Linked DNA regions of Rattus norvegicus. The protein of the gene in region 1 interacts with the protein of each later gene in a biochemical or structural test. Links are inferred from orthologs where the notes say so. Each region holds a gene or a part of one and is shown in the gene's direction. Other genes may lie near its edges.

Region 1 (3,500 bases):
CCACAAATTAAAGCATCCAGAGCATCCCCAAGAACAGTAATGCCGGCATTTCTCATCAGACAGTTGTTGTCACAGACCGAGCTGGTGTTTGAGTCCTGGATCACATGTGGACATTCCTTTTGAATTTCAAATGCTAGACTTGAATGAGCAGTGGCTGAAGGCTGCTCATGTGTGGGTTATGCATGGTGGGATCTTTGGGGCACCCTAGTAGTGTCCCAAAAACCTCTCTGTGCAGGAAAAGAAGCTGGTAGCTAACACACCCCTTATCACAAACTGCACATACTCACTTTCCTGCAAAGTGTGCAATTTATTACTAGCCCTGGTCCACTGAAGAACCACAGTACTCCCAGGAAGCGCCTATACTAACTTTATACCAAGCTGTAACCTAACCCTACCCACAATCTTAACCCTAGCCCTGCCAACAACCCTAACCCTAAGCCTACTACCTCTGCCCCCAGCCAAGGACTAACACTAACTCTAATGACAAACCTACCCTAAGCCTACCTCTAACTCTACCATTGCCCTTAGAAATAATGTGAGTAATGGCAGAATAATGACACTAATAAACAGAAGTAACAGCTAGCATGGTTAGCAGGCCATTTCCTGACCTCTGTGTGTTGATATGTACAAATCCATGTGTTCTTTTAACTGTGACTTGGAGCATATATAGATATATAGATAGAAGCCATATATTACTGCCTCCATGTGACTACTTAAATGACCGTAGCTAACTTCAGGTGCTTGAGCCATTTCCTTAGGCCTGTTCTTCCCACTGTATCTTGAGAGTGAAGCCTCACAATCAAGAACAACTCTGCTTCTAAAGCTTACAAACAGATTGCCAAATCATTCTGCAGAAAGGACATCAGTTTATAATCTCATGACCACTCGGTTCAGCTTTTCTGCACTTTTACAAAATTTGTCAGTTTGATGACTTGATAAATATGTTTTTCAGTCACTGATGAAAGTTGAGCATTTTTTCATTTCCCTTGAAATGGGTTCTTTTGTCATTGTCTTTATTGAGCTCTGCTCTCATGTTAATTGGTCTTTGATTGACAAGTTCTTTATACTCCAGTCTTTGTTTTCCCTGTGCACTGCAGATCCTGTTGCCATCATCACCTGCCTTTATGAGAACAGGGTTTCTCCTCCTCACCATTAACTTTCTCCCTGGTTTCTGCTTTTGATGTCACTCTTGGAAACATCCTAACTACAAAAATATTTTAAGATGCATTGTTCTAAATATCCTATCCATAGTTTTATGGTAAGTAGGTAGGTTGAATAAAAACAAACAAGGTAGCAGGAACCCATTAGGAGGGGAAAACCTCAGGAGTGGGAGTCCTGACTCTCTGCCTGTGGCATGCTTAAAGGCCTTACCCACACTGGAGGCCACAGTCTGAGCAGCTTGTTTTTGCACCAGGTAACCACACGTCAGCACCTCATGCTGTAAGTGCCCCTTGCAGTCCTGGATGTGCTGCTTGTATTGGAACATCTGTAGCAGACTCTGACGGTCACAATGTCTTCTGTCTACAGACGAGCTTGGCACACAGACTTGTGACTCGAGAAGGCTCTGTTGCCCCACTTCCTCTCTATACATCACCATCCTTGCCCAACATCACCCTGGGACTTCCTGCCACTGGCCCTGCTGCTGTAAGTTGGCCTCTGTGAGTCTGTGTGGCGTGGGGGTGGTTGTCTGCCTCAGTTTCCACAGCCTGAGTATACTGACTGTGCCTTTCAGGGTGCAGCAGGCCAGCAGGATGCTGAGAGGCTTGCTCTCCCAGCCCTCCAGCAGCGAATCTCCTTGTTCCCTGGGACCCACCTCACCCCATACCTGAGCACCTCGCCCCTGGAGCGGGACGGTGGAGCAGCTCACAACCCCCTCCTGCAGCACATGGTCCTGCTGGAGCAGCCACCCACCCAGACGCCCCTTGTCACAGGTAAGAAGCATAGCCAGGTCTCTGTGCAGTTAGGTCAGCCATAGCTAACCTCCTATAGCTTTTAAAGAAGACTGGAAAGAGCATCCGAGCCATACAACAGGAGAAACTATGGGTCTCTGTGATATGGTAGCCACCTACCTTAGCTGCGTCAAAAAACTATGCCCTGCTTAGAAAGCTGACCATGGAGTAGAAGTCAGTGCCAGTGGCCCTCTGTTGAGCCTCCTGCTCTCCCACTGATAGTTTTCCCTACAGCTTGAAGAAGCAAGTGTATGAAGTTCAGAACTGACCAGTGATTTTTCAGCTTGAGGATGATTACATTAAGAAAAATACAAGTTAGAGAAAGATAAACTTGTGACATTTACCTAGTGACCATGCTTTGGAGGTACTGTTTCAGAAATGATGGCATGTGGAATGTTTACGTGTTGGTGACTCGGCCCAGCTCTCTACACCATCTGTAGGTCAGTGGGTGACTTCACACCTATTGCTTCACTCCGAATCACAGTCAGAGCAATCCTAGGGCTGGCCTTATACATGTTCCAGTGTTCCCCTGCCAGCCTCTGGTTGGTCGGTCGGTAGGGCTTGTATTGGATTCCTTCCTGTCTTGTGCTTTTTGTCTCCAGTGTGCACCTGCTTCTCCCAAGTCAGTGATCTGGACATGCTGGGACACCCGGCTCCAGCTCTGGAGAGCAGTGTCCCAGTGACCATGGGACACTCATTACACTTAGGCCCCTTCCTGTCTGTTCTCTTGGAAATCTGTCACTATGGGCTTCATCTTCCCATCTGTGAATGAGATACCAGCCCAGAGTGACAAAGTGAAAAGACTCGGTTCCCATAGGCAGTGTCTGACACCCAGCACCAGTCAGTGTTGATCTCCTGGTTGAGGCTTTTCCTTTGGGGTTGGACTGGGTTTTAGATTTGGTTTGTCTCTTTATTGTATTTACTTGGCCCTTTGTTGCTGTTTTGATATTAAACCTTGTTAACCTCAGTCTCCTAAATGCTGGGATGTCAGGCCTGTGTTTGTGATTCACCCTCAGACGCCACACTCTCCCCAGCAGTCCGTCTACTCTTCCCGGCACCTCTTCTCTAATCCTGGCTTCACTAGGTTCTTTCTGTTCTCCTGAGGAAAGGAGCCTCCTGACCAGGGTTTCCTCTGCTCAACCACAGCTGTCTTTAGAGGCCAAATTCCCTACTGTCTAGAGCAATGAAGAATAATACTGCTTGTAGAGCACAGGCCTGTGAACATCCAAGCCAAAGTAGTAGTACAGCATGCCTCTACTTATGTGGCCATAGCTGCCGTCCGTCCCTCAGCGCTGTCTGAGCACAACACCACTGGCAGATGGGTCAGCTCTTAGCAGAGACTCCAGCCTTGCACCACAGCCCTCCTCCTGGGCAGGCTGACCAAGGGAACTTTATGGAAGTACACATTCTTCTCTAAGTCCTTCCCACTCCTTTGAACTCAGGTCTGTCTGTCCTGCAGCCCCTGCTGCCCTGCACCATCTGCATGCACTCGCCTGCTCTCTCTGCAGCCCCGCTGTTATGCCTCTAGGGGAGATCTGATGCTTTCCCAGT
Region 2 (4,128 bases), on another chromosome or scaffold:
TTTCTATTTTCCATAGTCCTCTAAATCTGCAATTGCCTCGTTTATTAAAGACTGGGAACTGGAAAGAAGGCCCCGAAGTGATCTTAGCAGCCAGTTACAACTTACCTACCTTACATGCTAATTTTTTTCTCCATGCTCACTTTTAAGCAACTGTGTCACATATGTTTAATTGTAGGCCACGCTCTTGAACTCTTAAATGGTTTTTCAGATAGCCCTTGAGGGAGTACATTCCTGTGCCCCTACCTGACCAGCTCTTTGAGACTGCAAGCAAAGAACTTGTGACCTCCCTCTCCCTTTCCTTCTCCCTCTGCAAAGAGAAACAGGCTAGACACGCTCACGTGACGCTAATGACGTCAGCCCCATTCTGGGTCGCGTGACCCGCAGCCAACCTTCCTAACGCCCCACCCCCTTGCCACCAACAGTGGGACATCTCGCGAGAGCCCTTCTTACTATCAGAACTTGCTGAGGTTACAGGGGAGTTACTCTGGAGAGGAAGGAAGGTGTGGCAGCGTGGTGCACTTCTTGCTTTCATTATGTTAGGCTTTATGGCCAAGCAAATGCTTTTGGGGATCGCCCTAGTTGGGAAAACAACGGGAGAGGAGGGCGAAGAGGTGAAAGTAAAAACTGAATCGAAACGTGGTGCCCTGACCATCCTTGCTCCTAGCTAAGGGACGGCCAGGCGAAGCAGAGGTGGCCAGGGCTGGCAGCCCCCGGTAGTCACTGTGAGCCGGGAGACGTAGGGCTGGGGTCTGGGAGCAGTAAACACGAACCGCGCCCAGATGCAAGGGTTGCATCCCGCTCTCGGTTTCCCCGGCATCACGGCCATCACTGCCGGGGTAGAGACATCCCGGGTGTGGGAGCTGCGAGTTGTCCCTCATCTTTCCGTCCCTTCGTGGGTCACTGCGACATCTCTGTCCCGTCCCCTTAAGCGCGCTCCCCGGGGCTCTGCACATCTCCTCCCTCCGGTCTCCTTAGACGGCTGCGGGAGAGCAGCCCGGAGGGACGCGGCTGGAGTCGCTAGAGGGAGGTGTGGGGCTGGCGAGGAGGGGGCTTCGCTGGGCGGGGAGAGGCGGGAGGAGGCGCCGGGGAGGAGCCGCGGCTGCCAGATTCGCCTGAGCCGAGTGAGCGCACTCTGTCGCCCGCAGGTTCCCAGCCTTGCGGCCCCGTGGGGAGAGAGCGCAGGCCACCAGCGCCGCCTCCGCCCGCAGGAGCGACCCCTTGGGTGTTCACTCTTGGCCACTGCCGCCCGCCACCCCGGGCGCTACGTTGAGCTCTCCGTGCGGCCTCGGTGACCGCGGCAGCCCCTCCTGACACCTCCCCCCCGCCCCTTCGGGAGCGCTCGCCCGGCGGGAGGAGGAGGAAGAAGGATCGCGGCTCGGGCTGGTCTGGCCACCTCGCCCCGCGCGCCCCGCCCCTGCGCGCACTCCCTCGCCGGCGAGCTACTTTCGGACAAGGAAAGTGAGGGCGGCCCCGGGTGACAGCGCGGCGGTGCCAGTCCCGGGAAGCCGCGTCTGTTCGCGTGTCGCCCGTCGCACTGTCCAGACCCCGCCATGGCTTCGACCACCACCTGCACCCGGTTCACCGACGAGTATCAGCTCTTCGAGGAGCTCGGAAAGTAAGCGTCCCTGCCTGGCACCTCCTCCCCGCGACCCCTCGTCTCCCCCGTGGGGACAGGGAGCCCGCGGGCCGAGGCGGGGTGACGGACCATGGCTTGGTGCGGGTGGGGCACAGTGGGGAGAAACCTTTGCCCTAGTGTGGCGGGTGCCCCGAATCCCCAGCTCATCTCCTCGGGTCCTCCACCTCTCCACTGGAGACTTAGTGAATTTACGATCTCTGCAGTTGTAGCTGTCATCCTGAGAAGTGTGCGCGCACGCGAGTGTGAATGTGTGTGTGTGTTCGGGGAGGAAAGGAGATTGCATGTAAAATGCAACATTTATCACCTTTTCTGTAGATGTCTTTTGCTCAGCCCGCGGTGTATCTGCGGTCTGATACAGGTTAGGATGAGCTAATGAGCATTAGTTCTCAGAGATGGTGCCTTGTTTATCGATGCCGAAAGTTCAACTTGGTTTGGTGGAGAGTCTGGTTCGGCATCCAAAGTAGTTGTTCCGTCCAGGAAAAGGCCACCCAACAGAACCCACGTCCCTGCCCTGTATCCGCTATCCTTCTTTGCACTAAGGTGACTCGCTCACCATCATTCTAGGATTTACGTGTACCTCGGTTCTGAGAGGATTTATTTATCTAGGCAGAGAGAAAAGCCCTGGAGCCCGAGAGAGCGCTTCCCCAGGGTAGCCTAGCCTTTGAAAAAGGACCTCCTCCACCGAAGTGCCAGAAGTACTTTGAGATGTTAAAGAGGGACTGGGTACCTACTGAAGATCGTACAGGGACAACCAGAGACCCAGTCGGGAGTGTTGGTAACAAGCATCAAATCCCAAACCAGTCCTTCTATCGCTAATTTCCACTATCAGGGAAAGGATGCATTTGTGTGTGTGTGTGTGTGTGTGTGTGTGTGTGTGTGTGTGTGTGTGTGTTGTAGGTTTTTAGTACAGTTGCATACAAGGAAGTGTGAGCATTTTTTAAATCAAACGAAAATGATATCTTTATAGATGATCAGCTGTTGAAACATGCAGACATGTCGGGAGAGCAGCTTAATTCAAATCTCTCCCCTCCCCCAGCCCAAACCAGGCAGAGAGAAATCACCTTAGCCCAGGACCTGTTAAAGCACACCAGTGAGCTCGAGATTTATGTTTTAATGAAAACAATCGCCATATTTACTTCACTTGGAACCACGTTAATTGTGTTTTCTACCGAAATAAACATGCAGCAGTTTTTTTTTTCTTCTGTTCCCGGTCTCTGCTTTTTGCAGGGTTTGCCATGAGCATTTGGTGTTTTATGAGTGTGAATTATAAATTGTTTTCAAATTTCATGTGCAAACAAGAGTGGTTATAATTGGCATGTCCTTCTATTTTGTTGATTAATAATCTGTTTGTTTCCAGTCAATTAAAAATTACTTTTATTCCACAACATTAGAAAGGATCTGGTTCGGCAGGGAAGATTCGTTCATTTCCTAGATGATGCTTTTTTATTATATTGATACTTGACAGATCGCTAAAGACTCATCAAACTGCTCAGATTTGTGAGTTTGCAAGTGGATACTGGATCTGATTATACTGATGATTGCTAATTACTGCTTTCCAGGGGGGCATTCTCAGTGGTGAGAAGATGCATGAAAATCCCTACTGGACAAGAGTATGCTGCCAAAATTATCAACACCAAAAAGCTTTCTGCTAGGGGTGGGTATTTTAAACCGCACTTATTTATATATGTTAATTTCGTATTTGCTGTGTGAGTCGTTGGTGTCTTTCTTTAACTATAGCATGGAATTATAATTGAATTTTAGACTTAGGCATCATATTACATGCTCATCTTTGCCAAAGGCCTCGTGGTCTGTTTACTTTGTGAGTTAAGTGAAAGATATAATTGTTATCAATGAGTTATCGAAATGCAGTAATATAATAAATGTGTTGCAAAGCAAATAAATGTCATGAGGGGCCTTGCTGAGATCCTTTCAGAAGGATCTTAGGTTGAAAAAAAAAAAGGCAAGTCTCCTAACTGTCATAATTGCCTTTCACTTTTGAGACAAAAAAAAAAAAATGGGTCATGGTTCAGTTGAATGTATATCACAGGTGTAGTTACAGCTGAACGTAATACATCGAGGTATATTTAACTTCAGTGGCCTTGGGAAGTGGGGAGAGATGGTTGTTGTAATCTAGGAAGTTACCTTGGTTTTGCTATGTGTACGCTAGGCCTTTTCTTGGTCTCCTGAATTCAACTTCCCACCAGATCATGCACTCTATTGTAAACCTTCAGCTTACAGCCACACAGATACTTCATCCTGAAGGCTGTTGACATAAGTTACAACAACAACACGGAGCCCACATTATGTGCCCACATTATGATGACTGCGATTATGATTATTTTGTCTAGAATCAAACAAAATAACATATGCCGAGATTCTGGCATTGCACTGACTGAGGTGTCTACGGCATTTCCGAGGGAATTTATGGTTTGATGGAATTAAACTGGAATCAAAAGAAACAGAATACCATAGTGCAGACCCATCTCAGTGAC
Region 3 (4,015 bases), on another chromosome or scaffold:
AGTAAAATGGGCTTTAGAGTCCCTATATGAACCTGATCTGTGTCTTATTATTTGAGGGCTTTAGGGTGGAAGGACATGAATCTGTTGATTCAAGCTCTGAGCTTTCATTATAGTGTCATACTTACAAACCCCTGGTGAGGATGTTTAGTACCAGAAGAATAAAGAATTCCCTGTCTCCCAACAAACAAAGATGCTAAGAGTGGAGGAGCATCCTGAGCAAGAAGCACAATTATAAACTCCCAAAGGTCAGTACCTCCCAAAGGAGAGCCATAGAACAAGATTTTCATCAATAAGATTGGAAAGGGTAAAAGAAAGTCCTCTGGTGTCCTGAACATCGACGGCTTTCTGAATGTGCATCTTTAGGACAGATCATGACAGAAAGAGCTGAAAGAGGGCAAGAAAAGGAACTGTCCATCATGCATGCTTCAGGCTCCTGAGACAAGATGCTCCAAAATTCTAACTAAAAACAAGAGATTCCCAAGTCCTTTCCACACTGTGTGTAAGGTCCCCCATGCAAGAAATGGTGCTAAAGAATTCTAAAAATTCTTAATTGTTCTTTAGTGAACAAGGTTAACAAATAGTTTGAGGGCAGGAGAGACAGCTCAGAGGTTAGGAACACTTAGTGTTTGTCCAGAGGACCCTTGTTCAGTTCCCAGCACCAACCAACCACTTGTAACTCCAGCCCCAGAGAGACCATGCCTCTCAGTACACATACACACACACACACACACAAAATTGTATTTAAAAGGAAATTAAATGGTTAACACAAAGTCAGTTTATGAAGGTGTTCTCCTTCATATTGTTCTGAGAGTAAAAATAAAAATAAAAAGAGATCCTAAATATACTTAATTTATATTATTATTGTTATTATTATTATTTTTAAATGTTACTGAAAAGTACATCTAGAAAAAAACAAACTTCTGCGTGACAGTCAGGGCACCAGCCGGGCCATGGGCATCTGTCTGAGGAACGTGGGACCTTCTTGGGTCGCCTCCCAGCGACTGTGAGGAGCAAGGCGGCCAGGTAACCAGCGCGGGGTGCCGGGCGCTGAAGAGCCACGCGGGTCTCGTGGGCGCCGGCCTCTGGTTGCGGGTGCGGGGCCTCCGGCCTCTCCCTGGGCACCGCCCCCGGTCCGGCCGGGTCGCTCAGCTCGGCTCGTCCGCGGCCAGGCGGGGCGGTCGCACTCGGAGCGGCCGCCGCCTGGGGCGCTCGGGTCGGGTCGGCCGCACGGACGCACATTGCCCGCCAAGCCGCCGCCTCAGGTCAGAGTCGCCCCGGGCCACAAGGCCCGCCGCAGGGACGCTGAAGAAGAGACCTGGGGCGCCGCACTGGGGTACCGGGTCGTGTGAGGCCTGAGGGGACTGAGTGTGACGACAAGGTGACCAGGCTGAGGGGACGGGCTGAGGAGAAGTCATACTCAGACAGGACCCGGTGAGACTGACAGCCTGACGAGGTCTCTCTCGGCTGAGGGGACGCGGGCTGAGAAGTCACTTTCTGACCGGACTGTGTGACAGACAAGGTGAGGGGGCCTCGGCCTGTGGGGACTGGATCTGACTGTCTAGGTGACTGGGTCTCGGCTGAGGGGACGCGGGATGAGGAGAAGCCACTCTCTGTCAGGACTGTGTAACTGACAGCCTAATCCTGTCTCAACTAGAGGGGACGTGGGCTGGAAAGTCGCACTCTGACAGGACGGAGCGTGACAGACAAAGTGACGGAATCTTAACTGAGGGGACTGAGGAGAAGTCATACTCTTGACAGGACCAAATGTGACAGACAAGGTGATCGAGTCTGGGTCTGAGGGGGATGCGGTCTGAGGAGAAGTCACTTAGGAGAAGAGTGAGAGAGCGTGATAGCGGGGCGGGGTCGGAGTGAGGGGTCTCGGCTGAGGACCGGTCACCCGCCTAGAGAGCCGAGTGTGACTGACAAGGTGAATGTCCTCGTGAGGGGCACGGCCCGGCAGGCCCGGAGGGCCACAGTGGAGCCACCTCAGGTTTCCTCAGAAGGTGCTCCGGCAGGCGTGTGCGAGCTCGGAGCAGGGTAGCCCGGGCAGCCCGACCCTGACAGGAAAGCCAGGTCTCCGCACGGTCCAGAACTCCCGCGGGAGGCCGCATTGTGTGGATCTGGTGACAGTTTTCAGAGAGGGGCTCGCCAGTAGCCACCGGGTACCCCGAGGCGCTGGGGGTGGGGGGAGGAGGGTGCGCCGGTGATCGTCTAAGCAACTTGGCCCGGGGCTCCCGCCCGCCCGGGGCTCGCCAGGTGTGAGGAAAATGGGGTCACTGTCGCCAAGGCCCCGCCCCACCAGTGCCCCTCTTCAGCCTAGGAAGGGGGCGAGCACAGGGCAGGGCTAACTGGAGTAGGCAGCCCTCGTGGTGGGGGTGGAAGGTGGGTGTGTGGCTCCGGTGCTTTATGGCTTGGGAGTGGGGAGGAGCCTAAGGTGAGGAGGCAGAAACTGGGAGTAGCCTGGGCTGCTTTTATATAAGGGACTCGAGGAGGTCAAGAAGGGGCCTGGACCTCTGCTGGTGATCAGAAGGCTGCAGCGCTAAATTCATCTTAACTCCCATTGAGTAGGTGAGTGGCTGCATCGTCATGGCACTTTGTTAGAGGGTGTTGTGAAGTGGCCAAACTGCCCCAAGTTCTTACACATCAGGATGGTTTGGCTGTGTTCTTGTACTGTAAGAATCTGCTTCGCTTCTGATGCTAACGGTGGGAAGGTCGTGTCATTTACTTCAGGAGGAGGAAAAAAATCAAGAGTTGAGTTTTCTGTCAGGCAGAAGCTAAAGTTGTTCTTCTTTAGCAGAATGAAGGACAAAAATGTAAATTGAAATGATCATTTGAAAACAAAACCAGATGAACCAAGTTGGAGGGTAACTAACAGTTGGAAAGCCTCTTTCTTGATTTGGAGTTCATTATCATAATGTCAACTCTTTATTATCATGCACAAAGCAAATTGTTAACCGGAGTTATTAAATGAATAACTTAGTCTTGGACTTGGGCAGGTCTTCCAAAGATATCAGGTGCTCTGTGGGAGTCCTCCTGTCCATAGCTAAGTGATCAACTGCTGACTAAAAATATAGCTAGGTCCAGGTGCTATGTGATTTAAAGCCTGGCTAGGGTAGGAGCTGACATACATTGTGACTTCTCAAAGAGATACTTCTCTTGAATGTTTAACAGACGCGCTCATAGATGCTAAGAGCACTTGGAAGCGATGTTTCAGAAGATTCGGTTTCGACTTTAAAATAAGTTCTCTGTGGCCTTATCTTCAACCGCATTTGCTCTAAAGTAAATGTCCAAAATATTAATTTTAATATACGGAAATTTGAAGTCAGTGTCATGCATTAGTTGGAGTGAAGCATATTACAAAGCCATCCATTTTTATTTTACTGTGTGTTTTGTGTGAATTTGCTCGTTTAAGTGCTACCTCAATATTTTAATTTGCTGAGACTTGTATCTTCAGTGAGAAGATCTGAAAAGCAACTGGTGGCCATCTCAATATTCTGCAGCTCACTAGAAGGGAAAAGATTGTCGACAGTTTTATTTTTAAGGAAAAAAATCTTTTTCATATGTAAAAGTTTCAAACTCTTAAAACTGCTGAAGAACAATGGCGCCGTGAAGTCTGAAGTTCTGGGTACCTCTAGACCAAGGAGTTTTTACATGCTGTGTCCTCACCCTTTCATATCTAAAAGAATATAAGCTCTTTAAAACAAATTAGAACTAAAAGACCCAGAAGCATCATACACATCAATATTTAAGACTACTTTGATGGTTTTTGTGATAACTATTTTTAATAATTCAGTACATTTCCTTTAAAGGAACTGGTTTTCTTAGCATTCACGTCACTACATATCTCAGCGTCACTTTAACAAAAAAGGGAAAGTCACACTAAAAAAAAAATCATATCATTAGTTTCAAAGTCCCTTTGACATTTAAAATTCATATATGATAAAAGCATGACTTTACATTTTTGACGTAGAAATGGATTACTGAGTATGCAAGTGATTGTGTTCAGTTAGTAAGT
Region 4 (3,086 bases), on another chromosome or scaffold:
ACCCAGTGACTCCTCCCCTCTGCCCTCCAGAGTTCCTAGGCCTACCACACCTAGCTTGTTACGGTCTTTCATGGATTCAGAGTTCAGGAAAGATCAGTCATTGTTAACTTAAAGTTATCTACCGAGAGAAAGCACACATTTCTCTGCTCTAAGCAAATCCCATTCTTCCCCAGCTCTTTGCTGCCTTCTGTTTTATGTTTTAATGCATTTGCCTTTTCTGGAGACTTCATGTAAATGGAATCCTATGCCATGTGGTCCTTCTGTCTGGCTTTTTCCTATCATATGAAGAACCTTGAGACTTCCCAAGTTGTTTTTCATATTCTCACCAGTGGTGTGTGAGAGTTCAAAGTTCTCACCTGGTAAGACTTGGCATATTTTACTGTGGAGATAGAGGTGGCTAGAACTTAGAACCTTGCTCACACACCCAGCCTTTTGCCTGCTTTGTTCCTGCTTTCGAGCCTATAGCATAAGGCTGTTTTGCATTATGGTTTGAATGTGCATTTTCATGGTGACTAGCTGTACGATTGGTAAGTGCGCTAAGGCCATGTTCTGGGCCATAGATGGTGGTATTGTCATGCCAACGGCCATTCTTAACATGAGTGCAAGAATGTTGGATGCACTGTGCCTGTGTCATCTTATGTGCAAGAGACTGATCTTGGCCATCTATTCTCAGAGTCTGTAGGCCCTGTATCCTCACATTCAACCAACCATAGATCCACAAAGCGTTCCTCTGATGGTAAAACGCAGTGGTAGAGTATGTACCTAGCTTCTGTAAAACCCTGGGTTCCATCCCCCAGCACTGATGAGAATATTTAAGTTTTATTTAGAATTACTGTTATTTTATATGCATGATAATGCCTACATGTGTGTATGTATGCATATGTGTCTGTTGGCTCTCCTAGAACTGGGGGAATGGATAGTTGTAAGTTTGGATGCCTGGAATCTAACCTTGGTCCTCTGCAAGAGACAAGTGCTCTAAACTACTGAACTGTCCCTCCAGCCCTTGCCCAGCGCATTCATTTTAAATCCAGATGTGATGATTCATACTGATGATGATTCATACATCTTGACCTTCTGAAGGCTAAGGCAGGATTGGTGCCCTGAGTTCCAGGCCAGCTATAATGGGAAGCGTGCCTCTAACAGAAGAGACTTTAGAATAAGGGAAGAATTACATAGTGCTGATATCAAACCAGGTAGTGTAAGTCCTGGAGATTGTGCGACATACATGAAGCACACCAGTGACCCCAGTACTCTAGAGGTGGAGACCAAGACTCAGACCAGCTGAGTAACAAGACTCAGGAGGTCTGTAGTGGAGCACTTGCCTACCACGCTAAAGGCCTGGGTTCTGTCCCAAGCTCCACCAGAAAGTGAAGGGTTTGAGTGGCTGTGCATAATAGTATCTATAGTGTCTTTGCATCAGTCCCCTGCAGGGACTGAGTCATAAAGGTGGGCCTGTGAGGGGACAGAAGTGGATGTGGAACTGCCATTCTAAGATGTATCATAGATTTTACCATGTGGATGTTACTTTGACTCCCACATGCTGTCCTACAGGAGGCGAGGTTGCTGAGGCAGGGTAGGGCCTATGTTAGTTTCTGCCACCTGACCTGTCCAGTATCTATCCCCTGTCCTTATGCAGCTGCTGCCATGGCGCAGACCCTGCAGATGGAGATTCCAAACTTTGGCAACAGCATCCTCGAGTGCCTCAATGAGCAGCGGCTACAGGGACTGTATTGTGACGTGTCAGTGGTGGTAAAGGGCCATGCCTTCAAAGCCCACCGTGCTGTGTTGGCCGCCAGCAGCTCCTACTTCCGGGACCTATTCAACAGCAGCCGCAGTGCTGTGGTAGAACTGCCAGCCGCTGTGCAGCCACAGTCATTCCAGCAGATCCTCACGTTTTGTTATACAGGCCGGCTGAGCATGAACATGGGGGACCAGTTCCTGCTCATCTACACAGCCGGCTTCCTGCAGATCCAGGAGATCATGGAGAAAGGCACTGAGTTCTTCCTCAAAGTTAGCTCTCCAAGTTGCGACTCCCAGGGCCTGCACCCGGAGGAGGCCCCATCCTCAGAGCCTCAGAGTCCTGTAGCGCAGATATTGGGCTGGCCAGCCTGTAGCACGCCACTGCCCCTTGTGTCACGGGTCAAGACAGAACAGGAGTTGGACTCGGTGCAATGCACACCCATGGCCAAGAGGCTATGGGATAGCAGCCAGAAGGAAGCTGGAGGCAGTGGTGGCAACAATGGCAGCCGCAAGATGGCCAAGTTCTCCACGCCAGACCTGGCCCCTAACCGGATGCCCCAGCCAGTCTCTGTGGCCACAGCTACAGCAGCAGTGGCTGTGGTTGCAGTGGGGGGATGTGTGAGTGGGCCCAGCATGTCAGAGCGGACCAGCCCAGGTACCTCCAGTGCTTACACTAGTGACAGCCCCAGCTCCTACCACAACGAAGAAGACGAAGAGGAAGATGCAGGTGAGGAGGGCACAGATGAGCAGTACCGTCAGATCTGCAATATGTATACCATGTACAGTATGTTGAACGTTGGCCAGACAGGTGAGTGCCGCCCTCCCTTATGTGCGTGCGTGCACGCACAAGCGTTAACATATAAACATGCTTGTCCCCTGTTCCCACAGTTGAGAAGGTGGAGGCTCTTCCTGAGCAGGTCGTCCTTGAGTCCCACAGTCGCATTCGAGTGCGGCAAGACCTGGCATCTCTCCCAGCTGAGCTCATCAACCAGATCGGCAATCGCTGCCACCCAAAGCTCTACGATGAAGGCGACCCCTCAGAGAAGCTGGAGCTTGTGACAGGTGTGCTGACTGTGCTTTCGTGCCCATCCCCTGTGCTCTGCAAGCTAGCACCCTTCCTGTGTCTCAGGGCACTTGACACTCTCCATTCCCATTTGAGCAACTGTTAGTAGCAGGTGCCCTGACGAGTGGTGTGTTAGGGTAGGAGAGTTGGTAGTGGGGATATGATTCAGCTGGTAATAACCATCTTACCTAGCATGCATAAAGCCCTGGATTTCATACCAAGCACTGTATAGACTAGGCACAGTGGTGTACATTTATAATCCTAGCACTCAGGATGGGGAGGC
Region 5 (3,500 bases), on another chromosome or scaffold:
ATGATTATACACAGGCATGCGGCATGCCTGCCCTGAGAGCTTTTGAGTAAATTTATTCCATTATTATATTCCATTTTAAGAGTAATTTAGTGTCTTAGTTAACCGTGACCTTTGAAGTGGGTAATGTTTTTGAAGGCTTAGTGCTAGAATATTTGCTCAGTGTGCATAAGGTCCTTGTTTTCTCCTCATCACTACCAATGAAGAAGAGTTCAGGGCTTCAGGTTAGTGGTAACACACATAGTACAAGGCTCTGGGTGTGGTCTCCCATACAGAGGGGAGAAACCAGCTGTTAACAATGGCTAATGAGTGCTCGATCTAAATCAGTGGTTCTCAACCTGTGGGTTGCGACCCCTTTGGGAGTCAAATGACCTCTCACAGGGTTCACATCAGATATCTTGCATATCAGACATTAATATTACAATTCATCATAGTGTAATTAACATACTGTAATTACAGTTAAGAAGTAGCAACAAAATAATTTTGTGGTTGGGGGTCACTTCTACGTGAGGAACCGTATTAAAGGATTGCAGGGTTGGGAAGGTAGAGAAATTACTGCTTTAAATTGTGAGGGTGAGAAACTGTCTGAAGGATGCAGGATTGTCAGAGCCAAACCTCACCCAGGCAGATGAGCTGTAGATCCCAACTTTTCAGATGAAATAATTGTATTAGTAAAAAGAGAGATGAAAATGATAAACTAAAACACTTATAAACTGATATATAATTAGCTTTGAAATATAGCTTATGATAATTCTTCCAAGTCATTTTTCGCCAGTGTTCTTTGGGGTTGGAGGGAATTTTCCTTTCTTATTTTTATGAAAACAGCCACCCACCTCTGAAGGAAACACAGTAGATCAGAATGATTAGAAGTACAGTTTTTGATTATACACGGATAATGCCATGTTTGCTGAGTTTAATGTCTGAGTTTCACGTTCCTTATGATAATAGTATGCCCTTCTGAAAAGTCCAGTAGGCTTCGTTATGCACAGCCTCTGTTACCCGTGGTCACTCTCAGACAAAAAACACGAAACAAGGAATCCCGGAGATTACCCATGCACTCTAAATGGCGTGCTGTTATGAGTAGCAGGAGGCGGCGTGTCGTGCTCTCTCATTTTGCCCCGCCTTTGACTGCATCCCCCTCTGCAGTACCCCTGCTTCCCCCTCTGCAGGCGTACCCTGCTGCAGACTGCTGGGGCGTTCGGCATTGACTGTCCACCTCAGTGGTCAGATGACACTCCCCGCTTTACTTTCTGACCACCCAAAGCACAAGGGAAAGGATGCTTTCTCAGTTCTTACGTTCCTGCTTATTCAAAAGTCGGTCCCCTTGAACAGCGCTTTTCCACTTCAGACACACTTGCTCACAACCTAGAATTGGACAGGAAGCAGTCCTTCGTCTTCACGCCAGCTCTGTGGAAAGAGGAAATGACACAAGGGACAGTTGAGTCATTCTTTGAGCCTAATGACCTTTTTATTTATCTATGCTCTTTATAACAGTTGTCTGTTATATCATTTCTAAGAGTGTGTGTGTGTGTCTGTCTGTCTTTTTATGTCTGTGTCTGCCTGTGTCTATGTATGTGTATCTATGTGTATATGTATCTCTGTGTCTCTGTGTCTGTTAGTGTGTCTATGGGTGTGTGTGTATGTGTGTGTGTGTCTTTGTCTGTCTGTGTCTCTTTATACTTGTGTATGTGTATCTTTGTATCTAAGTGTGTTTGTCTGTGTGTAATCTATATGAATGTGTGTCTATATCTGTGATTGTGTGTCTATGTATGTCTTAGTTAGGGCTTTCACTGCTGTGCACAGACACCATGACCAAGAACTCTAATTATAAGGATGACATTGAACTGGGGCTGGCTTACAGGTTCAGAGGTTCAGTCCATTGTCATCAATGTGGGAGCCGTCAGGTAGATCTGGTGCAGGAGGAGCTGAGAGTTCTATATCTTCATCTGAAAGCCGCTATAGCAGAACACTGGTTTCCAGGCAGCTAGGATGAGGGTCTTAAAGCCCATGCCCTCAGTGACACACCTACTCCAACAAGGCCACACCTACTCCAACAGTGCCATACCTTCTAATAGTGCCACTCCCTGGGCTGAGCATGTACAGACCATCACAGTGTGTATATGTATACTGTATGTGTGTATCTGTCTGTGTGTGTCTATATGTGTGTATATGTGTCTGTGTGTGTTTTCAAAGGAAAAGAGTTTCTGAACCTCCTGTGTTCTGATAACATAGAGCATTGTTCTTACCCTCTGAAATGGGTTGGGAAGCTGTTCTTGAGTGCACCTAACCCGTGATTTAATACTTTAGTCGCACAGTTCTTGTAGCCAGGTGGGCACAGTGTGGTGTGGCAGTTCAGAGGAAAGCTTTCCTGTGGAGGGGACGGTGCGATGTGGGTGGCAGCCCTGCCACTCTAAGCCCTGCCATTCCAAAATGCTCGTCCTCAGTTTTGAAACTTTGATCTTCATTATTTCACATGGATGCTTTTCTTTCTGCTCCTGTTCTTTTGACTTTGCCCCCGTCTCCTCTTCCTCTTTCAGGCTGTCTAGATTACTTCTCAGACTGCCGGCCTTGCGGCTGATGAATGCCACCATCACTGAGGAATTGTTCTTCAAAGGTCTCATTGGCAACGTACGGATCGACAGTGTCATCCCACACATTTTAAAAATGGAGCCTGCAGATTACAACTCTCAAATAATTGGTCACAGCCTTTGAAAGTGGAGGTCACCCTGCTCCAGGCTAAGTTTACCGTTCCTTCTCGGAACACATGAAACCAAATCGAACTGTTTCTTCCAGGGCATCTGCGAATATTAACTTTAAGAGTAACCAAAATCAAAAGTATTTTTCTTTTGGATTCCTTAAGAAGAATTTAAGTGACCAGGCAGGGGTCAGGAATTATACTACCCTGTCTGTCCTATAGGAATGAATCAACAATGGTACGGGGCTGTTCTTGGGGAGGATGACACTTAAGACTCTCTCCTCCTGACTGTCTACACTAAGCTTTCTCATTCTATTTTATAAAACAAATAAACTAGTCTTTCCCCCCTGAATTGTGTTTTTTTCCTGTTTAATGCCACTGGGCCTGTATACTGTAACAATGAGATACCTAAGCAGAAACTTCTTACGTCTGACTCATCCATGGTTATCTTAGTTACCAGGCCAAAAGGTTATTTTATGCTCAATGATGTAATGATAATGCCAGAGCTATAGGAAATAAATATATATATGCTTTTATACACATCAAGGTGCCCGTTAGCATATAACACTCGTTGCTGGCAATGAGACATGAGCCATTTGTATTTTTTTTAGTGTAGTAGATTATTAGTTACAAGCACTTTTATTCGTTGTGGTAGAAAATTACTCTTGAGAATAGGATGAGGATCCTGTTTTAAAATTTGGGATTTACTGTGTTTTAAACATAGTAGAGACGCCCCCGGGCTGTGTTAGTATTTTAGAATAGATAGTAAAATAGTTGTTTTTTTTCATCCCACAGAAAGCCTCTGTCC
Region 6 (4,201 bases), on another chromosome or scaffold:
GATGCGATTCTGTGACTCCTGTGGGAGATCCGTGGTAAGCCAAGGACACAGCATCCCTAAACCGAAGCCTAGAACTAAGACCTCATGACTTGAGGGTGGGGCTGTGTGGGCGACTTTTCTGAGACCCCTGGGTGGCGCTCTCCACCACACCCCCAACAAACACTGCGCTGGGGCTTTTGAGGGAGGCTCGAGCTCAGAAAAGTACCTCCCCCCCCCCCAATCTCCTGCCCAGTTTCATGTGAAAAGGAAGAGACGGAGCTTTCCGCAGGTAGAGGAAGGACAGATTTTTCTTTGGTTTACGGTTTGGCATCTCAACTACGCCCTTTAAAGTGGGCCAGCCGCCGAGGGAAGAAAGAACTCTGGAGCGGCCTAGCGCTCTTCGTAGCTTCCAGTCGCTCCGGAAGGCTGAGCTGAGCTAGGCGCAGGATCTTCACAACTTTCCATCCAGGTTCTTGGGGCCGGGGGAAAATAAGGGGAGGATGCCTGAGATTGGGAGTGAGAAAGTATTACTACTCGGGCCTTGACATCTCAGTTTGCGACAATCTAGATTGCAAAACCGAGGTGTCACCTCCTACCAGTTCTCTACTGGCCCCTCTGGATTTATCTGGCCAAATCCCGCTAACTCAGACGCTCATCCCCGCGGGCAGGCATGAGAGGCCTGGTTTGGGACTGGGGAAACGACCCATTTAAAACTAGTGTCTAGGGTAAGGAAGGATGCAGTCCGAATCCCGAGGAAAAGTGAAAGGCTAGATGCCACACACTGGTGCAAATAATAGAGAACGGGACAAAACTGCGCTCCTGAGCACCGGAGTTGGGGGAGTTGGGGACGCGGGATAAACCGCATGCCCAGTGGAAATGAAAAACCTGGTGCTAAAGTGGGAACTGTTCCTCCCTCTCATCCTTCTGACCCCTTGGGGGTTGCCAGATCCTCTGCGGCTCCTCTTCCTTGCAACCTTTTGCCCTCTCCACCTAGCCACGGGCAACAGCCGCTGGCGCCGGGGCAGCAGCTAGATGTCAGGAGAAGCCCGGAGCGCCGAGCGCTGGGAAGGGAGGGGAGCGCCCGGGAAGGGAGGGCAGGGCTGGGAGCGCGCACGGGCTCAGCCAGGGCGGGGGTGGGGCGGGGTGGGCGGGCCAGGGCCGGCCAGGGGGAGGGGAGGGGGCAGCTGTGGGCAGGGAGCCGGGCTCGGCCGCCAGCACTAAAGATGGAGAGGCGCCGGGGCCTCGCAGGGGAGGGGGCTCGGCGTTGACGTGGGACGCGGCGGAGGCGCCGCAGCCGGTGGTGATTTGCTAACCTAGCGGCAGAGAGGAGTTAAGGGTGATGAGAGCGGGTACTGCGAACTGCCGGGCGATGCCGCCGCTGCCGCCGTGAGATCCGGAGCAACAGTTCCCCAGCAACACCCCTTCCCCGATCCAGGCACACCCCTAACCCCCCAGGCACGCACACCCACCCCAAGCTCCCGGCTCTGCAAGCGGTAAGTGTATGTGTGTAGGGAACCCGGGAAGGACTCGCACCGCCCAGCGACCGCCTCCCGCCAGGCGCCCTGGGGCGGGAGAGGTTTAGGCGGGTGGCGCTAGCTTTGGCCACTCGGCCGCTGGGCTCGTGCGGGGTTCTCTGGTTGCTGCTGCTGCTTCTGCAGCGATCGCCCGTGCCGGTTGGGGGTCAGCTAGAAAGCGGAGCCGAGGCTGTCAGCTCGGGCGCAGCTGCCTCACCAACCTTCCTCCTCCGGGCACGGTCCGGTCCGGGTGAGAGGTGGCAGGCCGGGAGGTCTGCCAGGGCTGCGGGAGCGTATAGTCGGGGACTGGGTGTCTTTGTACAGGCAAGGGCTGGCGGAGGAGCAGAGAGCCTGTGGGTGCTCATATGTATGCGGACCGGTGCGCTTGGCGTGAGCTAGGATTGTGTCTTATTTATTTGTGTTTATTCGCTGGCGGGCTGGGGAGCTGGAACCGGAGGAAGCGAGGAGTGAACCTGGAGGGCGGGTGGGAGGGGACTGGTACCCGCTCGGGTTTTGTTTTCTTTAGAGAAAACGTGGTGGGATTTTTCTTCTTCTTGATTGGACTTGATGCCCCCTTTTAAGGAGAGAGGGAAGCTTCGGAGAGACTCTGGCGCTCCGGGTCCTCCTCGGCTCTCGGTGGGAACAGCCCGTGGAGCCGGAGCTCGCTGTGCGCTCCCGGCCGCGCACGGTGGGTTCCCGGCTCTGCACCTGATGCATTCGGAATGTCTTTCCCACCCTGGCGCGCTGCAAGCTTGCCCAGCCCCTCGCACGCTCCCGCACGCGCTCGAAATGCGCACGATCCTGGCAGCCTGCGGACCCCACCGGAATGCACAGACGCGCACCGCTGCAACCAGCTCGCCTCCTCCCCGCCACGCTCCCAGCGTGTCTGACTCGGGCACGCCGGCAGCTGGTGCGGGAGGCCGGGGACCCTGCTGGTGGCTTCCCAGGGATCTCGATCCTGGGTGGAAGGTGGAGGACCCAGAGATCTCTTCTCGCTTGGCCTCCCACCACTTGCCTCGGGGCTTTTTGTGCTTCCTTTTCTCCCCCGGGGGGTTGCGCCGTCCGGCCGGCCTAGCAGCGGCGTCCAGCCGGCTCGGACATTCTCCTTTCCCGGGTCTCTTTCGCTTTCCTCCTTTTTTCAGCTCCGATCCCTTTCTTCCAGGCACCTGACTCCCGGGGAAAAGTTGCTTTTCCAAGTTTGCCAAAGTCCTCTGCAAGTCTAGGCGGGGGGTCTCTGGGAACAAGGGGTGTGTTGCGCCATCGATCCTTGGAGCTCTGTGGCGGGTTAGCGCTGGCTTTGCCCAGAGTCGGCTGACCGCTGCACCTAGCGACAGTCGGATCGGGTGCGGAGCTGCGGGTTAGGGAGAGGGCACCTTGATTTCCCTTAAGGCTCAAAAGGCTCCTTTGGAGGAAGATATTTGGCAGAGAACCTTCTTTATTTCGGCTTCTCTCCCTTAGTTCTTGAATCTCTGATCTCTCCCGAAAGCACACCATGTTCAAGAAGCTTTTGACGAATGAATATCTCACCACTGTTGATGCCCTCCGTTTCTACTTTGGGGTGGGCAGTAAGAGTGGCCAGCCAGTACTGTTAACTCTTTCTGCATGAGTTTTGCGTCTAAGGGTCCTTAAGACTCTCGTTGAGGGTGAAGGCATGCTCTATGAAGAGTGCGTGAGAAGCCTAGCTCTCTCCACCCTCTCTCCCCAGGCTGTGTGAAATGTTGGCTGCAGACAGAGGTTGAGACCTTATCCCGTTAGGTCTTTCTGCCCATGTCTCAATGGCTGTTCAAAGTCGAGAGCCTCTCAGTCATCCAGAATACACTCTGGGAGAGGCCTTTGTGTCTCAGCTCTGTCTTCCCTTCCTTCTGGGCTTAACTCACGCCAGAGATGCTGGTGCCAATGTCACTTACAGAACCATATTCAGTGTCAGTTTTTCTCCTTGTCACTGGGCTTGCCAACACCTGGGAGGCATCCAGTCTGGTGTGAACCCTCAAGGCTGTTGGGAACATAGCCTCCTATGATGTTCTCTGCTTTCTCTTCTTAGAGCGTTCTGTCCATTGGTGCCTTGTGGGCCAGAGGTAAAAGAGGGGGTTGTAGCATCTTGTATAATTGTATGTAGATGTGGGTGAGCGAACACACACACACACACACACACACACACACACACACACATCTCTTGGACACATACAGCAACTTTGAGGAACTTGTAGTTAGAAATGACTTAAGCTAGAATGTGATGTGGTAGGGGTGGGGTGGGGGTGTGTGTGGTGGGGTGTGTTTGTCCCAGCCTAAGAAATGGGTCTGCCAATCCTTTGCAGCCCTGACCAGAGTGCAAGGACAAAGGCTGTAGAAGTCACTGATGATGGAGAGGAGATGTGTCTGGGATGACTAGGAGAGGACAACCCCATTGCCTGCAGATAGGAGACCAACCATCATGTTTAGCAGCCAGTGCTGGCAGGCTCTGGTTGTCTCCTAAGGCCGTCTCAGTGAGCGAGAACTAGAAAGCCATTGAGGATGAGGGTTTGCCAATAGGGAGGGGGTGAGCGGTAAGACTGAATGCTTAGGTTGACTAAGGGGAGGGGTTGAAAACTCCTTAATTTTAAGTAAGTTTGTGAGCCTCATGTTGGACACTGGTCTTACACAGGAAGGCTCTGCTCTCAGGCTTAAAGAATGGCTAGGATTCAATGCACTTTATCCAATGCACTGCTTCA
Region 7 (3,500 bases), on another chromosome or scaffold:
AGTGTACACAGAGACACATGTACACATATATTCACATATACATACACATATATACATATGCATACATGCACACATGTACACACAGAGACATATGTACACATATACATACATGTACACACATACATACATAAACACATAAAATACATACACAGATACATAGACACATGTACACATATACACACATGTTCACATAAAATAATACACGGATACACACATATATATGTATATAAATATACATAAACACACACAAAAGCATACACATACACATGTGCACAAACACAGACATGTATGCACAGATAAATACACATGTGTCATACATATATGTGTACACATACATATATATGCTTACACATACTCATATACATACATATATACAGACACACATGTGCACACAAAATTACTTGTATGTTAGAGACAACTACTACTCACTCATAAAATTCTATTGTTATATTCCCAGGAGCTTGTTCTGAGATTGACAGGCAAAAAAGGTAATCAAATTTGTTCTTTATCCTTCTGTGATTTCAGGGATACGAAAAGACCGCCGAGGAGGGAGAATGTTGAAGCACAAGCGTCAGAGAGATGACTTGGAAGGCCGAAATGAAATGGGCACTTCAGGAGACATGAGAGCTGCCAACCTTTGGCCAAGTCCACTTGTGATCAAGCACACTAAGAAGAATAGCCCCGCCCTGTCCTTGACAGCTGACCAGATGGTCAGTGCCTTATTGGATGCTGAACCACCTTTGATCTATTCTGAATATGATCCTTCTAGACCCTTCAGTGAAGCCTCAATGATGGGCTTATTGACCAACCTGGCAGACAGGGAGCTGGTTCATATGATCAACTGGGCAAAGAGAGTGCCAGGTAAGAATGCTAAACTCCACTTCCATGGAAAGAGTGAATAACTTTTCAACAATTGGGTGTGGTAAGGTGAGGGGGGAAATAGAAGTGTGCTATGTGATTAGAGAAAAGGCTGTATTAGAATTTGTCAATTGTCAATATAACCTACTGTATTTCTCTTGATACCTAGGAAATAGCCTTTAAAATTTAAAAGTAAACACCCAGCAGACTAAAACCTTAGGCATACTGTTTTTGGCCAGTCTTCTTTGCTCAAAAGACTTGGATGAACACTACATACCACACACATATATGTCCTGTCATGCAGATATCACATATTAAAAATACTTAATGCTTGGGGATCTGTGGAATTGTTTTTATTTCTAATGCTATCATTCAAAACACCTTTATTGAGAGGCAGTTTGTCCATATGTAATCCTTCACCAAATATTGGCGTACACTAAAGGCCGATAGTTTATTTGTAGAATGCCAATTATTTATTCAACTTGTTTCCTGCATGGGATGTCCAGAGAAACAAAGACACAGTGGTCAAACCAATGCCAACAACGTCCTAGGGAGCATTTAGAAGGTTCCAGAAGCTGGAGCGATGCTCTACCCCTCTTATTGGTCTCTCAAGTGCTGCCTTTATGGCTCTTGAGTGTTCTTGTTTAAGGAAAAGGACTCCAGTTATGATGGAAACAAGACCGTCCCATGCCTCAACTAATGGATTTCATATGCGGAAGTCTGTGCCGAAGCAACAGAAGGGTGGACTCTTGTTTTCTGGCTTACAGATTAAGTCAATGGGGGATGTAAATATAGAGCTTTTTCTCCTTGGGCTTCAATAGATCTGTGACATGTGGGATATTTTATCCATTTTTATAAAACTAAAATGCATGTGGCATTTTGGGCCTTGATTTCCAGAGTCACTGACAGAGTCTGAGTTGATGGGGATCTCCCCTTGGGGAATCTTAATGCATTTGCATAAACCCACATATAAACATGCTGTTCTTTGAGTAAGAAGGCAGCAATCCATTGAACCAAACTGACTACAGGGCATCCATCTAGGTGGTTGGGTAAGTAGGGTACGTAGAACAAATTTAAGTTTCGAGAATCGTTCTGTTGGACAAAAATTCTTGGCCATCTGAAGAGCTAAAAGTTTTAATTAGCACCTAGATATTTTAGCATTGTTTTGTGAGGCAGATACAGATACCTCAGGATTGGAATTACATAAGGATATATGTTTTTCCTTGAAGTTTGTGTCTGTTTTTATACTTTGAGAAGAAAAGAAAAGAAAAAGAGAAACCACAAGAGATTTAATGGCCGTACCCATGAGAACCAGATCTGGGCTGCTATTAAGTTTTTATTATTCTGTAAACATATCCCTTATGAGATCCTGAAAATTCTTGTTCCAGAGCCGAACTGTGGGTATATGCTGAACCCAAGCATATTTTTTTATTTTTATCTTTATTTTTAGAGTTACACCTTAACATTTTATGATTGATACTTTGTTGTTACTATTGTTGTTTATGTCAGGGCGCTTGCTGGGTAGTCCAGGCAGGCCCTGAACTTATCTTTCTGCTTCTGTCTGAACGAGTTCAACTATATTACTCATTGATGGAAGATTCAAGAAAATAGCCTCAATTTAGGATTAAAATAGAAGTCAAGGCTAAAAAGATGCCATTTTCGTGTTAGCTAATTCATTGTTAAACTCAGCATTAGACATGTGTGATGATAACATATGTAACAAAACTACTCTCAAATTTCTTTACGCTAATCAAGAGGGCCCAATATCTTTGGGTTAAACTATATTTTGTGAATTGGTCCCTTAGAAAAAGGAATTATAGAATCATAATGCAATTATGTACAGTCATGTGCCCTGTAACAACATTTTGCATAACAACAGGCCTTGTCAATAGAGTTAGGCCTGCATGTTCTATAGGTTAGAGCAAGGGCAGGTGTCATTGTTGGTGGGTCTGTGTTTAACATGGGTCAGTTTGTAGAGAAAAGCAGATCCACACAGGCATGCATTCCTCTGATGTGTCACTGTCATGAAGAGACACAAGGCTTTCTGTTTCTCCATTTCTCCATCTGTCTATTTCTCTTTGTCTATTTCTGCCTTTGTCTGTCTGTCTGTCTGTCTGTCTGTCTGTCTGTCTGTCTGTCTCTCTGTGTATGTGTACCATTAAAATGCAGCTTTGTAAGTGCAAAGCCTACTTATCTAGAGGAAATGGAATGAAAATAGCCACTGATTTAAAAAAAGGATGAAAAAAAGAAGAGCAGACCTAATGCCCTTAGGATGAACTCTGAAGATGACTGTGGAAGTTTGCAATGAAAATTTTACTTTCAAAAGACTTTATATACCCAAATACCTCCGTCATTTAGAAAGATAGTTTACACTGACGAGCTGGTATAGGGAATGCCACATTTATGATAATTTAGGAATAATAATGGCAATTTCAGAAAGGGAAAGAGAAACATGGCGAGGTAGAACAACAGCAATGGAACCAGTAATGTGATTTGGATTTGAGAGAGGCCAAAGTGGTTTTTAGGGAGGACTTGGAGGGCAGAAACAGAGGTTGGGGGAAATGATGTAACTGCACTGTACTCTCCAAAGAAATAATTAAAACATGTACACAACAGGAGGTAAAGAAAACACTTCAATAAAG

The links.
Region 2: of the proteins of Hdac4 (region 1) and Camk2d, one has a biochemical effect on the other in vitro, tested with the Homo sapiens proteins (2 studies listed by BioGRID, with this or other methods). The link is inferred for Rattus norvegicus from reciprocal best matches to the Homo sapiens genes HDAC4 and CAMK2D.
Region 3: the proteins of Hdac4 (region 1) and Pparg form a complex in vitro, tested with the Homo sapiens proteins (2 studies listed by BioGRID). The link is inferred for Rattus norvegicus from reciprocal best matches to the Homo sapiens genes HDAC4 and PPARG.
Region 4: the proteins of Hdac4 (region 1) and Nacc1 form a complex in vitro, tested with the Homo sapiens proteins (2 studies listed by BioGRID). The link is inferred for Rattus norvegicus from reciprocal best matches to the Homo sapiens genes HDAC4 and NACC1.
Region 5: the proteins of Hdac4 (region 1) and Nr2c1 form a complex in vitro, tested with the Homo sapiens proteins (2 studies listed by BioGRID). The link is inferred for Rattus norvegicus from reciprocal best matches to the Homo sapiens genes HDAC4 and NR2C1.
Region 6: the proteins of Hdac4 (region 1) and Zbtb16 form a complex in vitro, tested with the Homo sapiens proteins (2 studies listed by BioGRID). The link is inferred for Rattus norvegicus from reciprocal best matches to the Homo sapiens genes HDAC4 and ZBTB16.
Region 7: the proteins of Hdac4 (region 1) and Esr1 form a complex in vitro, tested with the Homo sapiens proteins (2 studies listed by BioGRID). The link is inferred for Rattus norvegicus from reciprocal best matches to the Homo sapiens genes HDAC4 and ESR1.

The regions. Positions count from the first base shown.
Region 1 is NC_086027.1:100,005,638-100,009,137, reverse strand, and holds part of Hdac4 (histone deacetylase 4), read left to right. Parts: intron 1-1,527; coding exon 1,528-1,644; intron 1,645-1,732; coding exon 1,733-1,931; intron 1,932-3,500. UniProt on the Homo sapiens protein: Responsible for the deacetylation of lysine residues on the N-terminal part of the core histones (H2A, H2B, H3 and H4).
Region 2 is NC_086020.1:217,697,223-217,701,350, forward strand, and holds the start of Camk2d (calcium/calmodulin-dependent protein kinase type II subunit delta), read left to right. Parts: upstream 1-1,328; 5' UTR 1,329-1,550; coding exon 1,551-1,615; intron 1,616-3,195; coding exon 3,196-3,290; intron 3,291-4,128. UniProt on the Homo sapiens protein: Calcium/calmodulin-dependent protein kinase involved in the regulation of Ca(2+) homeostatis and excitation-contraction coupling (ECC) in heart by targeting ion channels, transporters and accessory proteins involved in Ca(2+) influx into the myocyte, Ca(2+) release from the sarcoplasmic reticulum (SR), SR Ca(2+) uptake and Na(+) and K(+) channel transport.
Region 3 is NC_086022.1:150,094,616-150,098,630, forward strand, and holds the start of Pparg (peroxisome proliferator-activated receptor gamma), read left to right. Parts: upstream 1-1,215; 5' UTR 1,216-1,519; intron 1,520-2,442; exon of another isoform or gene 2,443-2,568; intron 2,569-4,015. UniProt on the Homo sapiens protein: Nuclear receptor that binds peroxisome proliferators such as hypolipidemic drugs and fatty acids.
Region 4 is NC_086037.1:40,383,515-40,386,600, forward strand, and holds part of Nacc1 (nucleus accumbens-associated protein 1), read left to right. Parts: intron 1-1,636; coding exon of another isoform or gene 1,637-1,644; coding exon 1,645-2,548; intron 2,549-2,628; coding exon 2,629-2,802; intron 2,803-3,086. UniProt on the Homo sapiens protein: Functions as a transcriptional repressor. Seems to function as a transcriptional corepressor in neuronal cells through recruitment of HDAC3 and HDAC4. Contributes to tumor progression, and tumor cell proliferation and survival.
Region 5 is NC_086025.1:30,651,107-30,654,606, forward strand, and holds the end of Nr2c1 (nuclear receptor subfamily 2 group C member 1), read left to right. Parts: intron 1-2,534; coding exon 2,535-2,709; 3' UTR 2,710-3,042; downstream 3,043-3,500. UniProt on the Homo sapiens protein: Orphan nuclear receptor. Binds the IR7 element in the promoter of its own gene in an autoregulatory negative feedback mechanism. Primarily repressor of a broad range of genes.
Region 6 is NC_086026.1:58,070,708-58,074,908, reverse strand, and holds the start of Zbtb16 (zinc finger and BTB domain-containing protein 16), read left to right. Parts: upstream 1-1,401; 5' UTR 1,402-1,472; intron 1,473-1,496; exon of another isoform or gene 1,497-1,743; intron 1,744-2,039; exon of another isoform or gene 2,040-2,181; intron 2,182-4,201. UniProt on the Homo sapiens protein: Acts as a transcriptional repressor. Transcriptional repression may be mediated through recruitment of histone deacetylases to target promoters. May play a role in myeloid maturation and in the development and/or maintenance of other differentiated tissues.
Region 7 is NC_086019.1:43,770,190-43,773,689, forward strand, and holds part of Esr1 (estrogen receptor), read left to right. Parts: intron 1-525; coding exon 526-861; intron 862-3,500.